Macaca fascicularis: one gene and its partners. Each later gene encodes a partner of the first gene's protein in a complex. Links are inferred from orthologs where the notes say so. Each region holds a gene or a part of one and is shown in the gene's direction. Other genes may lie near its edges. The genes, in order: CCKBR, GNAQ, GAST and GNAI2.

Region 1 (5,092 bases):
ACAGCTGAGGGCCATCTTTTAGCAGCACTCTCCGCAACTGGAAAATAAATCCTTCATTTTTGAAGAGAGTTCTGGGCTTTGCATCACAGCATCCAGCACAGGGGTGAAGGATCATAGGGGAGTAAGGCATCAATAATAATTCCTAAATTTCTGATATGTACATCCCGATGGGTGCACTTAACGACCGTATATTACAATCATTGGCTTACTTGGGAAAATCCCCACTAGAGTAGGTGCTACTCAGGGGCAAACTATATTGGACAACTAATGCACACCCCTAGAACTGGCATAGTTTGCTAATTAAGTGAATGTTCATCTACTTCTATTTTCACTCCCCTCTCCCTTATGTCCTTTGCTCCCTTCCCTCCTCATCGTACTGCCATCCAATGTGGGAAAACTTGAGCAGGTTATCTGAGGCCTCACCTGCGCTGGAGTTGAACAAATAGGAAATCAAGCTCGTCTGGTCCAGGCTCTCTGATGGGCAAGACAGGCAGTGCCAGGAGGAAGGGAAGGAGGGGCAGTTGACGACATCTCAGGCATAAACTGTCTTTCAACTCTCTTTCAATGCTTCAGCCCCTATAAACTCAGAGCTGGCTGAACCAGGTCCTCTCCAAAAGATTGATTGGATAAAGGCCTGCTGAATCCCCCATAAAGCCAGACTCCATTCTCTAATTTGCTCTTCCACTGATGCCCGCCCCCCACCTCTTACAGCTACTGCTGGGGGTCAAAAGACAGAATTTCACATCGTATTGGAGTTCATCTGGAATCTGAAGAATGGATAGGAATCTGGAGATAGGAATCTGGGGAAGAAAAGGAATGGATAGGAGAATGCATAAGGAGCAGGGCTGAAATAGTAGAAGAGGCAAATCCTGCCCTGAGAAGATGAACCCAGTTCAGTCCTGCACCCTTCAGCCCTGTTCCCGCTGCACCCCAGTGACCCAGTCCCCTTCCAGCCCCCACTCGTGGGAACCTGACACCCTACACAGGCAGCTCTGCCTGCACTGAGAGTAAACAGGGAGCCGTTAGCGTGTCGGGTGGGCGTGGGCGCTGCCTGGAGACGGTGGAGAAAGCCAACCGTCTCCTCCTCTTTTGTCTGCGCTGGGCCGGCGTTAGAATTATATCCCATCTTCACGTTACTCGGGTTTATCCTTGTCAGCTCTTGCCACCACCCCCAACTGCCCTCAACACCCAAGTCAGAAGCTGCCTCCCGGGAGCCCTTTCCCCTGGCAAGCCTCCCCTGGAGCCAAATCCTGGCCCCACCCCCACTCCCGCCCAGCTGTGGAGGGCTCCTTGGGAACCTTAAGTGGAAGCCTGAGTGTTGAGCCTCCGATAGGAGGTGAAGGTTGCGGAGACAGATGCAGGAGCTACCCTAGTCCCGCAGCGAGGAGCTGCAGGGAACTACGGTAGCAATAGTGTCACGGTCACTGCGGTCACTGCAACACAGTACCATAAATGCGGCTCTAGGTGCAGACTAAAGCATCCGCGCCTCAGCAGGTGACGCACGCAGACCCGGTCTCCAACGCCACCTCCACGTTCCCTGATACACCAGAGAAAGATGTTGGATCCGTGGCAGCCGTCTCTACCCAACGCCTCCTACCCTCCCTTCCCCAAAACCTCCCGCTACGCTGCCAATACTCTTGTCTTCTCTCTCTCTCTCTCTCTCTCTCTCTCTCTCTCTCTCTCTCTCTTTCTTTCTCTCTCTCTCTCTCTCTCTCTCTCTGTCATTCCGGGGAATCGAGGGTGGGGGCGGGTGATAAAGAGAGGTGGGCAGGAGAGAAATCTCTAAGAGGAGACAGGACAGATCTAGGGAGGGGGCGAGCCTGGAGGACAGTCGCACAGGGAGGGGCAGAACTCCCGAGCCCGGGAGGGGGTGCACAGTCACCTGGTGGGACAGAGGCTGGCGGAGGGACGGGAACCGAGGCGGGGTGAGCCGCGGGAGAGTGGAAGGGCAGGCGCCTGGGCTGGGGGCGGAGACCAGGGGGGGCAGGGAGGCGGGGAAGGAGGGCGGTGGGAGCCTGAGCCCATCGCAGCGTGAGCAGGTGGAGCCGCGGTGGGAGCCCGCCAGGCCGAGCAGAGTAAGGCGGCGGGCTCCGCCGGGGCCATGGAGCTGCTAAAGCTGAATCGGAGCGTGCAGGGAACCGGACCCGGGCCGGGGGCTTCCCTGTGCCGCCCGGCGGCGCCTCTCCTCAACAGCAGCAGTGTGGGCAACCTCAGCTGCGAGCCCCCTCGCATTCGCGGAGCCGGGACACGAGGTGGGTGCCCCCCTCATCCCCCTCCACAAGCTCTTTCTCACTGTACCCCAGAACACTAATAGAGTCCCCCCACGAGCTCCACACTATCTCCTCAAACGCCCACACCGTGCCCCTCAGCCCCCAAACAGCTCCTCTCACACCTTCACCCCCACAGCTCACAGGTTCATAGCTTCACACCACCTGGTCGGAACTCCTTCACATCCTGGTCCCCTGATTACACCCAGAGCCGCTGCTTGCCCCAAAGCACAGCCCCTTCCCCAACACGCAGCCCCTCCTAGACACCAGTTAGAAGGCGAGGAGCTCCTCTTGCCAACCCTGCAGATCTCCTTTTCCCTCTTACATCCAGTTCACAAAGCCACAACAGAGAAGGGAAGGAAGAAAGGAAGGCAGGATTGGGAAAAGAAGGGGGCTGGTTGAGGGAGGGAGCACTCTGGAAAGCTTGAATGGGAAACCGAAGATGTGATCACATCTGACACCTCAGCCCCCAGGCATCCCAAAAAAAGATCCTCAAATCTGATTTAGGCTGGACACTAGGAGATGCCCCTTAAAACTGCCTGTCTCCATTTCACTCCTCAAACCCCTCTGCCTCCCTAGTTGGAGCTTTCAAGGCTCTGTGCCCTCTCTCTTTGTCTGCAAGTAATGTCTCCAGCTATCTTCCAAGCTCCCTCTTCAGCCCTAGACTAGGTGCTGGGGGTACAAGGCAAACTAGACCCAGTCTGGTCCCTCATGACCCATAGCCAAGTGCAGAGAGAAAAAAGCAAATGGAAAAATCACAGACACAGTGGAAATCCCATGAAAAGGTTTAAACTGTGGGCACCAAAAGAACTTCACAGAGGCTAGAATCTTGGAGCTGGGTCTTGAAGTTGAGTGGGCAGAAAAGGAAGGATGGGATTCTAGTGAAGGAAATAAATTTTTCTAAACTTGAGAAGGGAAAGTTGGAATAAATTGTAATCCAAGTATTTACCCCATGAAATAATCTATGCTTTCTCAGCCCATTTGTTACACACTCACACTTGGATTTGTCATTCAGCCAATATTTATTGAACCAGAGATTGTGCTAGGCAGTGGGAATGTAAGTTGAACAAAACTGACACAATTCCTACTTCACAGAGCTCAAAGCTTAATGGGTGAGACAGACAAGCAGGGGATAGAAGCACAAAGTGGAAGAGCCTTGATAGGGAAAAGATAGTGGGAACACAAGTGGAGCACCTCTAGCCCAGCCTAGCCTCCGTGAGAATTAAGGTTGGCCTCTTAAGGAAATGAGATACAGAGTGAAAAAAATTAGGGAGATTGGCTCTAAGCTTCCTGTTGGAAAAAAAAGAAAAGTGTGTGTGTGTGTGTGTGTGTGTGTGTGTGTGTGTGTGTGTGTGTGTATGTGTGTGTGTGTATATATATATATATATATATATATATATATATGAGAGTCAGTCAAGTAAACAGGCAGAAGAGGCAGAAAGCATCCCAAATAAAAGATGTATAAAAAGCTCCAAGTTTGAATTCATGGCACTTTTATCCACTGTGACATAGTTTTGAGTGGCTACAACATATATCTTAAGAAGGGAATAATGAACAGGCTGGAGACCAGCCTAGAGAGTTTGCAGAGAGCCTATTAGACCTGACCATGGAATGTGGACTTTATCCTGAGGGCAATAGGAACTACTAAAAGATTCAGTAGCACTACCAGGATTAGTTCTATAATGTGGAGAATGGATTGGAAGACATGAGATGGAAGGCAGGGGGGTACTTTAGAAGGTTACTATATTACACTGGTTTAAGTGAAAGATGATGCCAGCTGAGACTACGGTAATGGCAAGGGGGACAGAGAGAGGTGTATAGATTTGAGAGCCTTTTCTGGAAATGGAATCAACAGATTAGAAGCAGAGAGGATGGAAGAGGTCAAGGGATGACATTCAGATTTCTAACTTGGACAATTGAATGGATATTGGTGCTATAGCAATTGTATACAATGAGCAAGATAACAAAACAGCAGAAATAGGTTTGGAAGAAGGAATTATGAATTCAGTTTGGAACCCATTGAGTCTAAATGTTAGTGGGATCATCCAGGTGAGGTTACCTAGTAAGCTATTGAATCCAGGGGTCTGGAACTTACAGGAGAGGTCTGAGGTGGAAATACAGACTTGAAGGTATTTGCCTACAGGAGGTAGAAGCCATGAGAATAGTTAAAATCATAATATTTTGTATAGAACGAGAAGAAAATAAGTCCTGGGTCAAGACTCTGCATAAGACCATTATTTAAAACCCAGGCAGAGAAAGGAGAATTTATGAAGGAGATTCAGATGAAACCGTCAGAAAGGCAGGAGCTATGCCCTTCCAGAAAGCAAGAAAAAGAGAGTTTCAAGCAGGTTGGGGTAAGCGATGTCAAATGCTATTGATGTAAGTTAGATAAATAAAAAACAGGACAGTCAGAACAGCATCTTTCAGATTCAGTAACAAGAAAATATTTAGGAGTTGTAGGTATTGAGGCTTGACTATAGTAAGTTGAAGATTGGGCTGGTGGGAGAGGGAGTTATGAGAAGTGAACCAGGGTATATAGCCAAAACTTTCAAATGTTTGGTAGAGAGAGAGAAAGAGAGAGAGAGAGAGAGAGAAAACCAGGATATTGCCAAAAATAGCATGAGATTGAGGCAGCTGGGTTGGGGTAGGGGGGCGGGTATATGTGTAGGTTTGTTGTGTGTGCGTGCACACATTTTAAAACAAGAGCTTTTAAAAGTGTTTGATGTTGATTGGGCCAAGAGAGGAAGATTGAAGGTGCAGATAAGAAAGGGGATAGTCAATAGAGAAGAGTCCCTGTGAAAGCGGGATGTGAAGCAATTCAGAGC
Region 2 (5,081 bases), on another chromosome or scaffold:
TCCTATTGATTCATTGTATCCATTCAAATATCTAAGTGCCAGGGAGTGTTTCTGATGTTGGGGGGAAACAGGGGGGACAAAACAGACTCTGACTGTATCTACAGCCTGCTGAAACAGGCAAATTCATCAAATAATAGGACAACTCAGTAAAAACAGATGACCCGATAGCCTGATGACTCATTTTAAAAGACATTTTTGAAAGTCTCAGAGGATCCTTGGGTAGGAAACCAGACACTTGAAGCTTTCTGTCACTTGGTTTTTCATTGTTTTGTGTCTCTCCAAAGCTCATATACAGACATATATTAGGAGGATGCAAACTTAAAATTTTTTCTCCTGAAGCTACTATTTTTGCACACTGAATTTCAATCTTTAATTTCTTTAGTCACTTGATTTTAAATTTTAATTTCATTGCAAGTCTAGCTGTTCTTTGTAGGCATTCACATACAAGGGTTGAGGTTTGCCCTCTCTGCTCTCCAGGCCAAGGTGAAATTTAATTATTTTCTAGGTTTTAAAGAGAGAACCTAAAATGTACATTTTGTATCTTGACTTGCTTGATTTAAATTCTGGTTTAGAGTGTATGTGTGTGAAAGGGTGGAGTAATGGCAAATGAAAGAAAGAAGGAAGTTACACACCTGTTGTCTAAGAACCCTATATGAATTCTTGATCTGTAGCAAAAGCAAAGTCATGACCATACCTTACACTCTGAATCAGCAGGTTGCACCAGGGACACTTCAGAGAACACATGAAACGTGAAAAAGCGGTTCTCGTCATAAAAGACAATTTTCTTTGAAGATCTCAGGTTCCTTTAAGGCAGGAAGCAGTATGAGTTTCACCTCCTGGACCTGATTGAACGAGATTATTTTCGTGTGCTATTTATCAGCAGACGATCACAATGAAATATGCACACGACACTTAACTGCCTCAATCAAATATTGCAAACCAAAAAAACTAGAATGCCACTTTGCTGGGGCCACCTTAGTTTCTCTTCTATTTCATTGTTTCCTTTCCGTTTATTTCATATTATTTAACATTTTCCCATAAGTCATCCATAATTCAATCTCAGTCTAGAAGGGTAAATTCGATTACTCGGCGGTTAAACATTGTGTGCCTTGTCAGAAACAAGAGAACTTGTGAAACAAAAACAAAAACAACTTAAAAAAAAAACAGAAACAACCAACCACCACCAAAAAAACAAAGGCATGAAAAGTTGGAACCTATCGGGAGGCTGCTGGAAACTTGGGCAGCTTCCTTTCTCTGCTCAGGATTTAGATTTCTATCTCGTTACTTTGCGGACAGCTTCGCCTGTGAATCTCCCCCTGTGCCTCCGGGCACCGGTGCCAATTCCTTCCCTTCCCCAGTTGCCCCCCACAGTATAGAGGATCTTATTTTCTAAGACTGCACCGGGGTCAGAGGTGACACGAGAGTTTCTAACCGAATGGCGTTTTAGAAATAGGAACGGGAAACACAGAAGCGGCTGAGGAGCGTCCCCGCGGAGCACACAGGCACAGCGCGGGAGCCGCGGACGCCAGCGCCGGCGCCGCAGGGAGCGCGTGCGGGGCTCCGCGGGGCCGCCTCCCGCGACTTCAGCAGGGGCCGCGGCCGCGCTCCCGGGCCGGTGGGCTGAGGCAGGCAGAGACCGCCATTTTCCCGCCTCACCACGCCCGGCCGGACGGCAACCGCAGGTCGGCGGCGGTCCTAGCACGCAACGGCGACCGCCGGCTCGGGCTGCACGTCGGCGGCCGGGGGCGGCCGTGACCGCGGCGCCAGCGGGCTCTGCCGAGGGTACGGGAGCAGTGGGCGTCCGCAGAGCCCGAGAGAGCCGGCCCAGCCCGGGAGCCGCGCGGGCGAGGCGAGAGCCGCACTGGGAGGCGCGCCGCGGCGGCCGCGAGCCCAGGAAAGCCTTCCAGGAGGGGCCGGGCGGCACCGCCTCCCGGCTCCCCTCCTCCCGCGCCCGTCCCCTCCGCCTCCTCCCCTCCTCCTTTCGCCGCCGCCTCCTCCCTCCCGGATCTGTGCTCCAGTTCAGAGAAAGAAGAAAATGTGTGTGTGTGGCGAGGGGGAGGGCGCGCACTGAGCAGCCGCTCCGCGCCTGGCAATCGGGGCAGGGGGTGGGCGTCTGGCGGGGGCGGAGGCGGAGGCGGAGGCGGAGGAGCGCGCGGTTGCCGGGCGGGCCGGGAACCGGGTCTGCGCGCGAGCCGGGCGGTGGGCGCGGACAGGGCCGAAGGCGCCCGGGAGCCGTGTCAGGCGGCGGCGAGGAGCGGGCGCGCCGGGCGCGGGGAGCCGTCGGCGGCCGCTCGCTGCGGGGACACCCCGGTGGATGAGCTCTCGCCGCCAGGCGCACGGCGTAGGGGAGCCTCGCAGGCGGCGGCGGCGGCGGCGGCTCGGGGGGCGAGGCGGGCCGCCCGTTCCTGGGGAAGGAGGCGCGGGCGTCTGAGCGAGGCCGGGCGCGGCGGCCTTCTCTCACGCGCCCCCCGAGCCAGCGCCCGCCTCCCGCGCCCGCCTCGCTTCTCCCGTCGGCCCAGGCCATCCGCTCCCACCGCGCCCCCGGCCCACCTGGTGGCTCCGGCTCCGGCCGCTGCCCCCGCGGCGGTTCCCGGAGCTCGTCCCGGCCGCGCGCCCGGGCGGCGGGGGCTCGGCGGCTACCGCTGCCTCGGGGGAGCGAGGGCGGGAGGGTGTGTGTGCGCGCTGTGAGCAGGGGGTGCCGGCGGGGCTACAGCGGAGGCACTTTGGAAGAATGACTCTGGAGTCCATCATGGCGTGCTGCCTGAGCGAGGAGGCCAAGGAAGCCCGGCGGATCAACGACGAGATCGAGCGGCAGCTCCGCAGGGACAAGCGGGACGCCCGCCGGGAGCTCAAGCTGCTGCTGCTCGGTGAGTACCGCCCGGGGCCCCGCCGGGCCTCTGCGCCCCCAGCCCACCATCCTTGGCCCTGCGGGACAGCTGCCCTCTCGGCGTCCCCCGCCCCCCGGCGCCCCCGGCTAGCCCCTACCCTCCCGGGCGCGCCCCCGGCCACTGCCTTCACCCGCGCGGGCGCGCGGGCGCGTTACACACACACACACACACCCAGATACACACACGCAGGCGCGTTACACACACACACACACACACACACACACCCAGATACACACACGCAGCAGAGGGGTCGCGGCTGCCCTGGCGGGTGTCTCGGCTTTTTTCTTTTTGGGTCCCTGAGGGCTGTGCCTTATCTGCTGTGCATCTGCTAAATGGCAGATCACTCCGGCCAGAGGCGCGGGGGTGGAAAGGTGGGCAGAGGGGTTGAACTTCCAGTGTCGTGGCCGCGGCATCCCATGGGGTGGTGGCGCGGGGAGCCGTGTGTGTGGCCCAGCGGGTGGCGAGCGGAGCTGGGGCACGTTGGGAGATGGCCTGCGGTGGGGTGGCCGGTGTCCATCTATTATCAGTGCCCTCTGGGGTCAGGAGGGAATGGGGGAACGGTGGGCAGACTCGCAACTGGATTCCCGGAGCACTGATGATGAGGAAGCCAAGTGGTTGGCCCTCCAAGGAAAGGGCCTGTGTATTGGGGGCGGGGCGGGAGGGCGAGCCCAAATGTGTCACAGAAGTGCTGTTCTCTAGCCACCAGACCATCGAAAGGAGGGAGCCTAGAAGAGTTTCTTGGCTAGTGGATGGTGACAGGCGTGATTCTCGTCTGCACCATTGCTTCTAGATAAAGATGAGGGTAGGGGAGTGTTGTGCTGTGTGGTTGTTGACAGCGACCGGTATCTTTTGTTTAATGAGGCAACCCAGATGTAGGCCTGAATTCACAATAGTTACTGCCGAAAACCAGTGCAGTCTCTCAGTTACTCTCTTGGCAACAAATAGAAACCTTTTGTTTAAAACACATAGCATTTTAATATCTTTGGAATCTGGGCTAGAAGGAAAACGGGAAGCATACAGGAAAAATTTTCCTCTAGTCTTGAAAAAAAATTCTGCTTTAGCTCTAAGTTAGCAAGAAAATGCCATTTCTCAAATAGAAATTTATTGATGATTATCTCAGAGAGGATGTTCAGAATCAAGCGATCAGGATTCACATACAAGCCACAGTGACAGAACCCTGAGCTATTGTGGTGGGAAGAGCAAACAGCTTTGCAGTAACAGGCCTGAAAAATGTCTTGTGTTCTGGATATTTGCATGTATAATAAATGTGTTTCTCAAACATTTCTGTAAGAAAAGAATATTGTACTGTCAGTTGGTGTTTGAGAAGCATGCATTTTCTTTCTTATCTTGAGCATTCCATTTGCTGGCTCAAGGAACCAATTGCCTTTGGGAATGAACTGCTTATGTACTGGATCATTTACAAGCAGGAACAAAATATACTGATCACACACATAGTTACTAATGGTTAATTCACATGACATGCTTTATGTCTTCATTTTGAAACTCAGATAAATGGGCACATGTTTATAAAGAACTGAAGGCGAAACACTAGATGAAAGAGGTGGGCTTAGGGGAATGAAGCCAGGGAGGAGGCAAACTGCAGTTGGAAAGTAAAGATTTTTTTTTTTTTTTTTTAATTCTCATTTTGAGCTACTTCTAATGGCTGAAAACAGGCAGTTGAATGTTTTCTGAGTTCTCAAGATTGAGAAGAAAATAAAGAACAAAAGAAATATGTAGAGTGTTTAAGTGCATGATTAAGGGGAAAAGCACGTATTTTAGAGAGACTTGTTTTAAGAATTGTTTTGTTTCTTCTGTTGCCCTGTTGACAGTCTTTGTTTCTGTTTAACTGTGAACTGGGCAGTTGAGGTCTCTCCAGCCAACCCTGTTTGCCTGAAAAGTGACAGCTCTGAGTTTCCCAGCAGCTAAGAGTTGAAGCCCAGGGAACCGGTTTGTCAATGGGCCTAGGTTTGAATGTTTAAGGGAAATACACTTACATGGATGCTTAATTCCATACTGTGTGTTTAAATAACACTGTGCTTTTAAAAATGAACTTGGAGATAATTTTCTGAGAAAAAGTGTAAACCAGTTTTACTGCTAAAGTGGTGGTAGTGTGGAGAACTTTTTTTTCCTCTTATTCGCGGAACATCATGCAAGTATTGTTACTGCTTCATGTTCTTGGTATGTTGCCTTTGC
Region 3 (4,980 bases), on another chromosome or scaffold:
TCAGAGTGGTTATTCACAACGGTTATTCAGCCGTCGGTTGCCATGGACACCGCACAGCCTGCTTCCTTCATCACCCATTAATTCTCAACAAGGCTGGCTGTGAGCGTGGGTACCACAGCCGTTACCCAAGACCCAAGGGGAATCAAACTCTCCCAGAAAAGGAGGGGGCCTGATGACGCATGAACAGAAGCAAAATCTTTGCTCTCAACGGTGGAAAAATCAAAAACAGCCTACAACTCATTACATCCGGTCAAACCATGTGGAGGCAGCAGTTTATCGAATAAGTCAACAAAGTGCCGTTTTGTTTTCTGGTCCATCTTCGGCAAATGCTTTAGTCTGTTTGCTAACCATTTGAAGGTATACTTTGACACTGAAAAGTTGTTGGCTGGGCATGGTGGCTCACACCTGTAATCCCAGAACTTTGGGAGACCGAGCCGGGCCGATCACGAGGTCAGGAGTTCGAGACCAGGCCGCCCAACATGGTGAAACCCCATCTCTACCAAAAATACAAAAAATTGGCCGGGCGCGGTGGCTCAAGCCTGTAATCCCAGCACTTTGGGAGGCCGAGACGGGTGGATCACGAGGTCAGGAGATCGAGACCATCCTGGCTAACACAGTGAAACCCCATCTCTACTAAAAAATACAAAAAAACTAGCCGGGCGAGGTGGCGGGCGCCTGTAGTCCCAGCTACTCGGGAGGCTGAGGCAGGAGAATGGCCTGAACCCGGGAGGCGGAGCTTGCAGTGAGCTGAGATCCGGCCACTGCACTCCAGCAAGGGGGACAGAGTGAGACTCCATCTCAAAAAAAAAAATAATAATAATAATTAGCCAGGTGTGGGGGCGTGCACCTGTAATCCCAGCTACTTGGGACGTTGAGGCAGAAGAATTGCTTGAACCTGGAAGGTGGAGGTTGCAGTGAGCTGAGATCACACCACTGCACTCCAGCCTGGTGACAGAGCTAGACTTTGTCTCAAAAAAAAAAAAAAAAAAAGGTTGTTTTGCAGATTACTAGCTCCCCTGAAAGCAAAATGAAGGAGACTTGAGAGGCAGGACCCCCCAGGAATTGGCTCTGCATAGGGGGTTTGCAGGTGGTGGTGCATGGGCAGCTGACCTGGGAGATGTGGGGCAGCTACAAGCCAAACTCACACCAGCACAGAAGGCCTAAGGAGAAGAAGGCGCCGAGGGTGTTCCATGGTAGGGGGAGGGTGAAGGGGCTTCAGAGGTGACCAGGATGTGAGCCACCAGAAGGAGAGAACAGGGCCATCAGCCCACAATCCATTGCTCCTGGTAACACGTTGTATTTGCAGAGTCCAGTGGAGGGGACGGGGAATCAATACATCACCCCACATTCACACACTCATCAAACATCAGTGGATGGTGAAATCTACTTTCCCTGAATCTAAGCCCATCGGGTTCACTCCCTCACCTACCACCACCCACAAAAGTCCCTACGTAGTTTGAGAGATGAGTACCAGGCCTCTGACCCCCAGGATAGGTGGGGAGCATTGCTCCTGACCAAGGGAGCTTGGTTCCTGCCCCTTAGGTACAGCTGGAGAGCTGCCACCACCCCGCTCCAGCCCCTCACCATGAAGGTCAACTCCCCTATCCTTCCCCCACATCCTGGATGACTGACTGACACTAAATGACAGGGCGGGGCAGGACGATGGGCTGTACCTGTGCCCCACCCCATTCCTCTCGCCTGGACTCATATGGCAGGGTAGGGGTGGGGGGGCACAGTTGGGAGGGACCTCGAGGGCTTTATAAGGCAGGCCTGGAACACCAGGCAGAACAGAGACCTGAGAGGCACCAGGCCCAACCGCCACACCACACACCTCCCAGCTCTGCAGGTGAGAAAACCCAGGAGGAGAGGGGAGAGGCTGGGAAGTGGGTTGACAGGTCCTCTCCCCCATCAAGGTATCAGGCCACTGGCCAGAGTCTGGGGCTCACCCCTTGGAGTCCCCAGAGCTGGGACCCTTTCTTTATCCCAGGATGGAACTAGGTCTTGGCTCCAGTACCTACCGTTGTATTCCCAGCCTTGCCTTCCACCTGCCCTCTGTCCCAGCCGGGGCTCTGCCCTTAACCTCTCCCTTCACACTCCTCCCCTGGGAGGTGAGGAGGACTGGGGTTCTTCTCCTCTCTCTTAGGTGAGAAAACTGAGGCCCAGAGGCAAGATGTGACTTGCCCAAAGTCACAGGGATTTTTAGGCAGGGCTGGGATGGGAATCCACAGCTCCTGGATCCCACTTCAAGCCCTTTCCTAGACCACTGCCATCCAAAAGAACGTCCTATGATGCGGGAAATGTTCTTTATCTGCACTGTTCAATATGGTAGCCACTAGCCACGTGTGTGCTTGAAATGGGGTTGGTGTAAGGAAGTTTGTTGTTGTTGTTGTTGTTGTTTGTTTTTTATACAGAGTCTTGCTGTGTCACCCAATCTGGAGTGCAGTGGCGTGATCACAGCTCACTGCAACCTCCGCCTCCCAGGTTCAAGCAATTCTCCTGCCTCAGCCTCCTGAGTAGCTGGGATTACAGGCGCCTGCCATAACACCCGGCTAATTTTTTATATTTTTGGTAGAGACAGAGTTTCACCATGTTGGCCAAGCTGGTCACAAACTCCTGACCTCAAGTGATCCGACCCCCTCGGCCTCTGAAAGTGCTGGGATTACAGGCGTGAGCCACTGCACCTGGCTGTAATTTTTTAATTTAATTAATTTAAATGTAAAGAGCCACACGTGATTGGTGGCTACAACACTGAACAACCAACGTGTGGTTAGCATCTGACAGTACAGCTCCAGATCACTGAGTTTTCAAACGTTTCTTCAGCAGCAGAATTCTTTTCTTCCAAGGAAAACCTAACAGAGAACCTCATTATGAAAAACTTAATAGCCAGGCACCGTGGCTCATGCCTGTGATCACAACACTTTGGGAGGCTGAGGCAAGCAGATTACTTGAGCTCAGGAGTTCCAGACCAGCCTGGGCAACATAGTGAGACCTCATCTCTACTAAAAATAAAAACAAATAAATTAGCTGGGCATAGTAGTGCACACTTGTAGTCCCAGCTACTCAGGAGGCTGAGGTGGGAGGACCTCTTGAGCCCAAAAAGTCGAGGCTGCAGTGAGCCAGGATCACTCCAGCCACTGCATTCCAGCCTGGGAGACAGAGCAAGATTCTGTCTCACAAAAAGAAAAAAAGAAAAACTTAAAAGCAGTACTTTATTAATATAAATGTATTCTGACAAGAGAAAATTTTTATCATTTTCTTATGATAAAGCCAATCAGAATAATGAGACTAAAAGAATACAAAAATCGTGAGTCCGGGGAACAGATGACCATTTGAATTTTACGTTTGTTTGAGATTCCAGTTTAGTTCTGTATTATATCTTTTCCCCAAACTGGATTCACCCTGATACATAATTGCTAATGGTGACAGCTTAATTTTTTCTTAACTGCTTCATTATAATCACAGGATATTCCTCAGTTAAGCAAAAATGACTGGAGAACCTTTCCTCTCAGGGCCGCACAAAAAAGCAGTGTGAGCTGGCCAAGCGTTGAATGTGCTGCAGTCTCCAAAGTGATAACATGCGGTCTGTAACACAGTTGGATGTCTATGTTCCTTTGGTATTCCTATTTAAAAGTTTCACTTTTTGTTTTTGTTTTTTTGAGACAGGGTCTCACTCTGTCGCCCAGGCTGGAGTACAGTGGTGCAATCTCGGCTCACTGCAACCTCCACCTCCAGGGCTCAAGGGTTCCTCCCACCTCAGCCTCCCAAGTAGCTGGGAATACAGGTGCATGCCACCATGCCCGGCTAATTTTTGTATTTTTTGTAGAGATGGGATTCGGTATGTTGCCCAGGCTGGTCTCAAACTTGTGGGCTCAAGGGATCTGTCCTCCTCAGCCTCCCAAAGTGCTGGGATTACCATGCCTGGCCTAAAAAGTTCACTTTAAATAACAAGTCTTGGGCCAAGCACAGTGGCTCACATCTGTAATCGCGGCACTTTGGGAGGCTGAGGTGGGAGGATTGCTTGAGCCCAACAGTTCAAGACTAGCTTGGGCAACATGGTGAAACCCCATTTCTACAAAAAATACAAAAAAATTAGCTGGACGCGGTGGTGCAAGCCTGTAGTCCCAGCTCTTCTGGAGGCTGAGGTGAGAGGATCACCTGAGCCCAGGAGGTATAGTCTGCAGTGAGCAGTGATTGCACTACTGCACTGCAGCCTAGGTGACAGAGTGAGACCCTGTCTCAATAAATAAATAAATTACATGACTTAAACAACTACAGAGCCACTAACATGGCCTCAAATTCTGCAGAACAGAACCTAGGAAAACCATTGCCCTAGGATTTGACTTTCTCCAAGAGAAGCAGTGGCTGTAATAAGGGTAAGTAAAGAGAAAAAACACGAGACTTTGGGGCTGGCGTGGAACCGGCAGAAACTGGAGAATTTAACTGAAGAAATAGTCCACAACTCCACATGGAATTGCAGACTCACCTGGGCGCGGTGGTTCACGCCTGTAATCCCAGCATTTGGGAGGCTGAGGCAAGTGGATCACCTGAGGTCAGGAGTTTGAGACCAGCCTGGCCAACATGGTGAAACCCCGTCTCTACTAAAAATTACAAAAATTAGCCAGGCATGGTGGCACATGCCTGTAGTCCCAGATATTCTGGAGGCTGAGGCAGGAGAATCATTTGAACCTGGGAGGCAGAGGTTACAGTGAGCCGAGATCCCATCACTGCACTCCAGCCTGGGCAACAAGAGGGAAACTCTGTCTCAAAAAAAAAAAAAAAAAATTGCAGACTCATCAGCAGGTAGAGGCCTGGAGCCACATCGCTCAGTCCCCTGCCTCTGGGCCTATGTGGGGACAGCCTCACCCTTAAGCTAGTCCCTTCTCCCCTTTGCAGACGAGATGCAGCAACTGTGTGTGTATGTGCTGATCTTTGCACTGGCTCTGGCTGCCTTCTCTGAAGCTTCTTGGAAGCCCCGCTCCC
Region 4 (5,221 bases), on another chromosome or scaffold:
TCCCAACCCCCTCACCCTGCCTGCTCGCCCTCCCCTCTTCCTCCGTCTCCACCCTCTCACCCTCTCTCCCTTTCTCCCTTGGGTCCTGATTGCCTGGTCCCAGATTGGAGTCCAGGATGGCTGCCTGCAGAAGAATGCCTCCTGGTAGGTTGGGGAAGGATGGATATGAGAAGTCACCCAGCTAAAGGAGACAGCCTAGGCAAAGGTGTAAAGATGGAAATCAACTTTTTTTTTTTTCTTTTTATTTTTTATTTTTTTATTTTTTTATTTTATTTTTATTTATTTATTTATTTATTTTTTTTGAGACGGAGTCTCGCTCTGCCGCCCAGGCTGGAGTGTAGTGGCCGGATCTCAGCTCACTGCAAGCTCCGCCTCCCGGGTTCACGCCATTCTCCTGCCTCAGCCTCCTGAGTAGCTGGGACTACAGGCGCCCGCCACCTCGCCCGGCTAGTTTTCTGTATTTTTTTTTAGTAGAGACGGGGTTTCACCGTGTCGGCCAGGGTGGTCTCGATCTCCTGACCTCGTGATCCGCCCGTCTCGGCCTCCCAAAGTGCTGGGATTACAGGCTTGAGCCACCGCGCCCGGCCCTTTTTTTTTTTTTTTTTTTTTTTTTGAGACGGAGTCTTGCTCTGTCGCCCAGGCTGGAGTGCAGTGGCCGGATCTCAGCTCACTGCAAGCTCTGCCTCCCGGGTTCACGCCATTCTCCTGCCTCAGCCTCCCGAGTAGCTGGGACTACAGGCGCCCGCCACCTCGCCCGGCTAGTTTTTTGTATTTTTAGTGGAGACGGGGTTTCATCATGTTAGCCAGGATGGTCTCGATCTCCTGACCTCGTGATCCGCCCGTCTCGGCCTCCCAAAGTGCTGGGATTACAGGCTTGAGCCACCGCGCCCGGCTTTTTTTCTTTTTAGATGGAGTTTTGCTCTGTCGCCCAAGCTGGTGTGCAATGAATGGCGTGATCTCGGCTCACTGCAACCTCTGCCTCCCGGGTTGAAGCAGTTCTCTTGCCTCAGCCTCCTGAGTAGCTGGGATTACAGGCGCCCACCACCACGCCCAGCTAATTTTTGTATTTTTAGTAGAGACGGGGTTTCACCATGTTGGCCAGGCTGGTCTCGAACTCCTGATCTCAAGTAATCCGCCCGCCTCGGCCTCCAAAAGTGCTGGGATTACTGGCGTGAGTCCCTGGGCCCGGCCTTTGTTTTTTCTTTTTCGATTTGCTGCAACCCAAAGGGAGAAGGCGGTTTACCGCCTTAAGACAAAGAAAACCGCAGTCCAGAAAGGCTCCCGAGTTCTGTAGATTCCAAAACAAGTTTATTGGACTCATTAACTTTAACAAATGACAAAGACACGCCTCCTCCACCTAACTCGCCCAACTCGCAGAAGCTCAGAGCGCTGGTTCCTGCTCTGTCCTCGAGGGCACCGGATCCCCACCCTCGGGCTAACAGATCCGCCCTCCCGGCTGTCCAGCAACTGAGCTCCCGGCGCTCCGCACCCAATCACAGCCCGGCCCCGCCTGCAACCCGCCCAGTGCCGGGTCCCTGGGTTTGGATCCACCCCTATTGCCTTTGCTCCGCGTGGCCACGCCTGCAGCCGAGGCCCGAGCCTGGGCTGCGCCTCATTCCCCCTTCGCCCCGCCCTCAAGCCAATCACCAGCCTCGAATCTCCTCTGGCCCCGCCTCCAGACCCGCCCCGGCCCAGTCCCGGGCTTAGTTAGCCCAGGCCCCACCCCCGGCCCGCCCCGCCGTCGGTGCGCGGCGGTCGGGAAGGCGCCTCCTGCAGACGCTCTGAACTGCCGACCCGAGAGCTTCCCGCAGAGGGCTGGTAGTGGGAGCGGAGCGGGTCGGGCGGGGCCGGGCGGGGCCGAGCCGGGCCGTGGGCCGTGTGGGGGCCGGGCGGCGGCCGGGCCGGCGGACGGCGGGATGGGCTGCACAGTGAGCGCCGAGGACAAGGCGGCGGCCGAGCGCTCTAAGATGATCGACAAGAACCTGCGGGAGGACGGAGAGAAGGCGGCGCGGGAGGTGAAGTTGCTGCTGTTGGGTGAGGCCGCGTCCCGCACTGGGATCCTTAATTCCCAGCTCGAATCCCCAGACAAGGACTTTGACCTCTCATACTAGGGCTTCGAACTCCCAGACTCGGGCTGTCTGGGACCCCACACCTGGGCCAGGACCAGGGTTGAAAACTCTAGGTTGGGCTAGACCTTCGATCCTGCCCAGACTCTAGACCAGATCCCTATCTCATCCCAGACCTCCAAATCCAGCCAACAGTGCCCCAACACCCGCGGTCCAGTGCCCTGCTTGGCCATCCCCCCTTACTAACCAGCTTCACAGAACTTCAGAGACCCCGCCATCCTTCCTTACACTTTACCCAAACCCCCAGGATGCCCGCCACTTGTTCCCCAACCCTCAGGCTCCACTTGTTTTCCTCATCTGCGCCTTTTATTCCTGTTGGGCATGAGCATCCCGCGGAGCCCCTGCCAGGCCCCCTACCCACTCCCTCCTTCTCCCTCTGTGCCCCATCCCTAGTCTGGAATCTGTGTCTTCCACCTGTGCGTTCTGACCCAAGGAACCTCTCGAATGGGAAACTGCTCTTGAGCCCGCTCTCCAACTGGAACCCCTTCAGCGAGCCCTGCTCCCTGCTTCCTGCCCTCCAGATCCGTCTCTGCAAGCATCACTCCCGAAACCTTCTGCTGATCCTCCACTAAGTCCTCTTACACTCTGGCCTTCCCCAATCCTTCCACCTCTCCTGCACCAAGTGGGCTGGGCTAGGATGAGGGAGCCCCGGATTGGAGAGGGCCTAGGCTGCCTTACGAAGAACCCCCACGGGGCTGGACTGAGGCTCCACTGGTCAAGCTGTGGGAGGGGGCCAGGCCTCAGGCTTCCCAGGGAGGCTCTGCGGGCTCTATGTTTTCCAGTTTCGAAGGCCAGTCTGGGAAGTAGGAGAGAGTGTGGAGGAGTTAGGGTTGTGGTCGCCTCCAAGGCCAGGAAAGATGGTGGCTGCTAGAGGGGTGGGGGGAAGTGGAAGTGGTGAGATAGCCGACATATTGCTGCCCCTGCGGGTGAGCCCAAGAGATCTGCTAGTAGGTGCTGGGCTGCCCACACCCCTTCTGGGCTGCAAGGCCTGGGATGTAGCCACTGAGAGTTCGGGGGCTTGTTGGATCTTGGGACCCTGTGAAGGGGGATGGTGGACTAGCTGAATGAGGAGTTGAGGGGCCAGCTAGGGGTGGGCCAGGGTGCTTCTGAGCATCCCAGCTGGCCTTTTGCAAAGACAGTGGGCCTACTGGCTGTCCCCATCCAACCTCCCACTGGAAGTAGGGGTGGTGCCCAGTGGCAGTCTGATTTTGATTTGGGGGTTTTAGAGTCGGGGGAGGGAGGCCCTTGCAACAGCACAGCACCGTTGTAGGCTGAGTACTGCCTGGGGGGGTGTGGCCCCTCAGCTTCAGAACTGTCATGGGGCTCCCAGGCTGTGAAAAGCAAGGCTTTTCGTGCTGGGCCTGTGGCCGAGGAACAGCATGTATGTTCATTATGGGCCCATCTGTTGACTGTCCCTGCGGACCTAGCCTCCGGGGCACAGCCTCGGAGGTTTCAAAATGGCATCCGCTTCGCTGCTGCCTCAGGGAGGAAGAGAAGGGGCGGGAAGGGGCGGCGGCCCAGCCTCCTGGGCTGCTTTGCGTTGGGCGCTTGCCTCTTCCTGTCTCTGCTGTGAGTGCGGCAGCGGCAGTGAGTGGGTGTCGACGCGGCGGAATGCCCATCGCTGCTACTGCTGCTGCTGCCCGATGGGCCTGGGGAGGGCACTTCCGGTACCGCTGCCTCCCAGTGCCCAGCCAGGAGTCTCTAGCCAGCCTCTCCCTAGGCTGATTGCAGCTACTGTGGTGACTGAGGAAATGCAAGACTGGACCATAGAGCTGGGGGAACGTAGGGCTTCTGGCTAGTTTTGTGTCCCGACACTAGAAGGGTCCCCGATCCCACCAGACTTGCTCCTTGGAGCCCAGCTCAGCTTTTGGGCTAAGTCAAGTGAGACCCGGCAACTCCTCCCACACTGGGCTGGCAGCAGCCAGGGAGGCAGGGTCTGGCTTAGCACTTTCTAGCCTGGGGAGTTCACCCTGGGGTCCTGGCCTTCTGGCCTTTGCTTACTCTGTGAAATGGGCTTCCTGGGTTTGGGCCAAAGGAGTATCCCAGCTCAGGGTGGGGAGAACAAGAGCCTCCTGGTGGTTCTTGTTGGGGATGTGGGTTGGGAGTTAAGACCCTGCAGTGTGCTGCAAAGGGCTCTGACTAAGCTCTGCCCGATATTGACGACCCAATCTGCCATGGCTGCCTGGGGAGGGATCCTGGCTTGAGCCATGCCTTTCCCATTCAGGTGCAAGGTGGTGATGGGAGCCCAGCTGTGGCAAGTTCAGAGTTCTGGGCGCCTGTCCCATGTAGCGGGAGACTTTGTCCAGGCAACGGGACTCAGGTTGGGCAACTGCCAGCCTTCCCTCCCAGCCAGAACCACGCCTGCTGCCCCGCCTGCACATCGCCTCCCTCCATCCTGGGTAGCTCTGCCAGCAGGCGGGCACAGTTCTTGTCACCAGGGTAGAGGCTGATGTGGTACACACAGGCAAGAGAGTATTTCCTGGCAGCTTGGTAGGGGGAGCAGATACCAGTCCTGCGCTAGGGATGCTCACCACTCCTACCCAGCTCAATGTGATTGACCAGCTAGGCCCAGGTGGAATCTGGGCACTTAAGGGAAAGGAAGCCAGAGTGTGTGTGAGCGGGGAGAGTCTCTGATTTGGGATGGGCTTGTGTGGACGGCTTCACAGAAAAAGGAGACAGTGTCCACCACTGGCTCCATAAAGGCTTCAGAATGTAAACAGAGCAGTTCTTTCTTGCCCCTGGAACTTTGCGGAACTGTTGTTCCCTACTTGATTGTTCTTTAAAACTTTACTCCCAGATCACCTCCCAGGATCCTTCCTGGACATCCTCCTTCAACCAAGGTGAAACATCTGGCTCCCAGCGCTGTTGTTTCCCCTCTCAGATGCCTGGAGACTGTAGGGCAGGGCTAAGTCCTCTTCATTTCTGTGCCCAGCATGGAGCCTGGCATCTACTGGGTGCTTCTCATCTGTTTGTTGAATGAAGGAAGTATCCTCTGAACCTGATTTTGGGTAGATGGAGGAGTAAACTGAGTGGCAGTTTGCGTACTGTGGGCAGGTGGCAAGGGCCCACAGGCCCACCACAGGGTTGGTGACCAG

What was found.
Region 2: the proteins of CCKBR (region 1) and GNAQ are in contact, whole or in part, in a cryo-EM structure (PDB 7F8W), measured with the Homo sapiens proteins. The link is inferred for Macaca fascicularis from reciprocal best matches to the Homo sapiens genes CCKBR and GNAQ. Residues at the interface, in NP_795344.1 of Homo sapiens: Thr87, Val88, Thr89, Asn90, Glu151, Arg152, Ala155, Ile156, Pro159, Leu160, Ala162, Arg163, Val164, Trp165, Gln166, Thr167, Ile241, Leu245, Gly248, Leu249, Val331, Leu335, His394, Arg396, Phe397; in NP_002063.2 of Homo sapiens: Arg30, Arg34, Asp35, Arg37, Arg38, Leu40, Ser198, Val199, Phe341, Lys345, Asp346, Ile348, Leu349, Gln350, Asn352, Leu353, Lys354, Glu355, Tyr356, Asn357, Leu358, Val359.
Region 3: the proteins of CCKBR (region 1) and GAST are in contact, whole or in part, in a cryo-EM structure (PDB 7XOW), measured with the Homo sapiens proteins. The link is inferred for Macaca fascicularis from reciprocal best matches to the Homo sapiens genes CCKBR and GAST. Residues at the interface, in NP_795344.1 of Homo sapiens: Cys107, Pro114, Asn115, Gly118, Thr119, Phe120, Met134, Gly135, Val138, Tyr189, Gln204, Cys205, His207, Leu222, Val349, Tyr350, Ala352, Asn353, Arg356, Pro361, Ala363, His364, Leu367, Ser368, Ile372, His376, Tyr380; in NP_000796.1 of Homo sapiens: Glu85, Ala86, Tyr87, Gly88, Trp89, Met90, Asp91, Phe92.
Region 4: the proteins of CCKBR (region 1) and GNAI2 are in contact, whole or in part, in a cryo-EM structure (PDB 7F8V), measured with the Homo sapiens proteins. The link is inferred for Macaca fascicularis from reciprocal best matches to the Homo sapiens genes CCKBR and GNAI2. Residues at the interface, in NP_795344.1 of Homo sapiens: Thr87, Thr89, Arg152, Ala155, Ile156, Pro159, Leu160, Ala162, Arg163, Val164, Thr167, Ser169, Ile241, Gly248, Leu249, Lys328, Val331, Leu335, His394, Arg396; in NP_002061.1 of Homo sapiens: Glu28, Ala31, Arg32, Glu33, Val34, Lys193, Leu195, Thr220, Phe337, Thr341, Asp342, Ile344, Ile345, Asn348, Leu349, Lys350, Asp351, Cys352, Gly353, Leu354, Phe355.

The regions. Positions count from the first base shown.
Region 1 is NC_088388.1:59,822,595-59,827,686, reverse strand, and holds the start of CCKBR (gastrin/cholecystokinin type B receptor), read left to right. Parts: upstream 1-1,892; 5' UTR 1,893-2,101; coding exon 2,102-2,252; intron 2,253-5,092. UniProt on the Homo sapiens protein: Receptor for gastrin and cholecystokinin. The CCK-B receptors occur throughout the central nervous system where they modulate anxiety, analgesia, arousal, and neuroleptic activity.
Region 2 is NC_088389.1:108,683,550-108,688,630, reverse strand, and holds the start of GNAQ (guanine nucleotide-binding protein G(q) subunit alpha), read left to right. Parts: upstream 1-2,016; 5' UTR 2,017-2,731; coding exon 2,732-2,867; intron 2,868-3,041; exon of another isoform or gene 3,042-5,081.
Region 3 is NC_088390.1:62,755,580-62,760,559, forward strand, and holds the start of GAST (gastrin), read left to right. Parts: upstream 1-1,785; 5' UTR 1,786-1,846; intron 1,847-4,304; 5' UTR 4,305-4,373; intron 4,374-4,893; 5' UTR 4,894-4,898; coding exon 4,899-4,980. UniProt on the Homo sapiens protein: Gastrin stimulates the stomach mucosa to produce and secrete hydrochloric acid and the pancreas to secrete its digestive enzymes. It also stimulates smooth muscle contraction and increases blood circulation and water secretion in the stomach and intestine.
Region 4 is NC_088376.1:113,265,847-113,271,067, forward strand, and holds the start of GNAI2 (guanine nucleotide-binding protein G(i) subunit alpha-2), read left to right. Parts: upstream 1-1,774; 5' UTR 1,775-1,916; coding exon 1,917-2,034; intron 2,035-5,221. UniProt on the Homo sapiens protein: Guanine nucleotide-binding proteins (G proteins) are involved as modulators or transducers in various transmembrane signaling systems.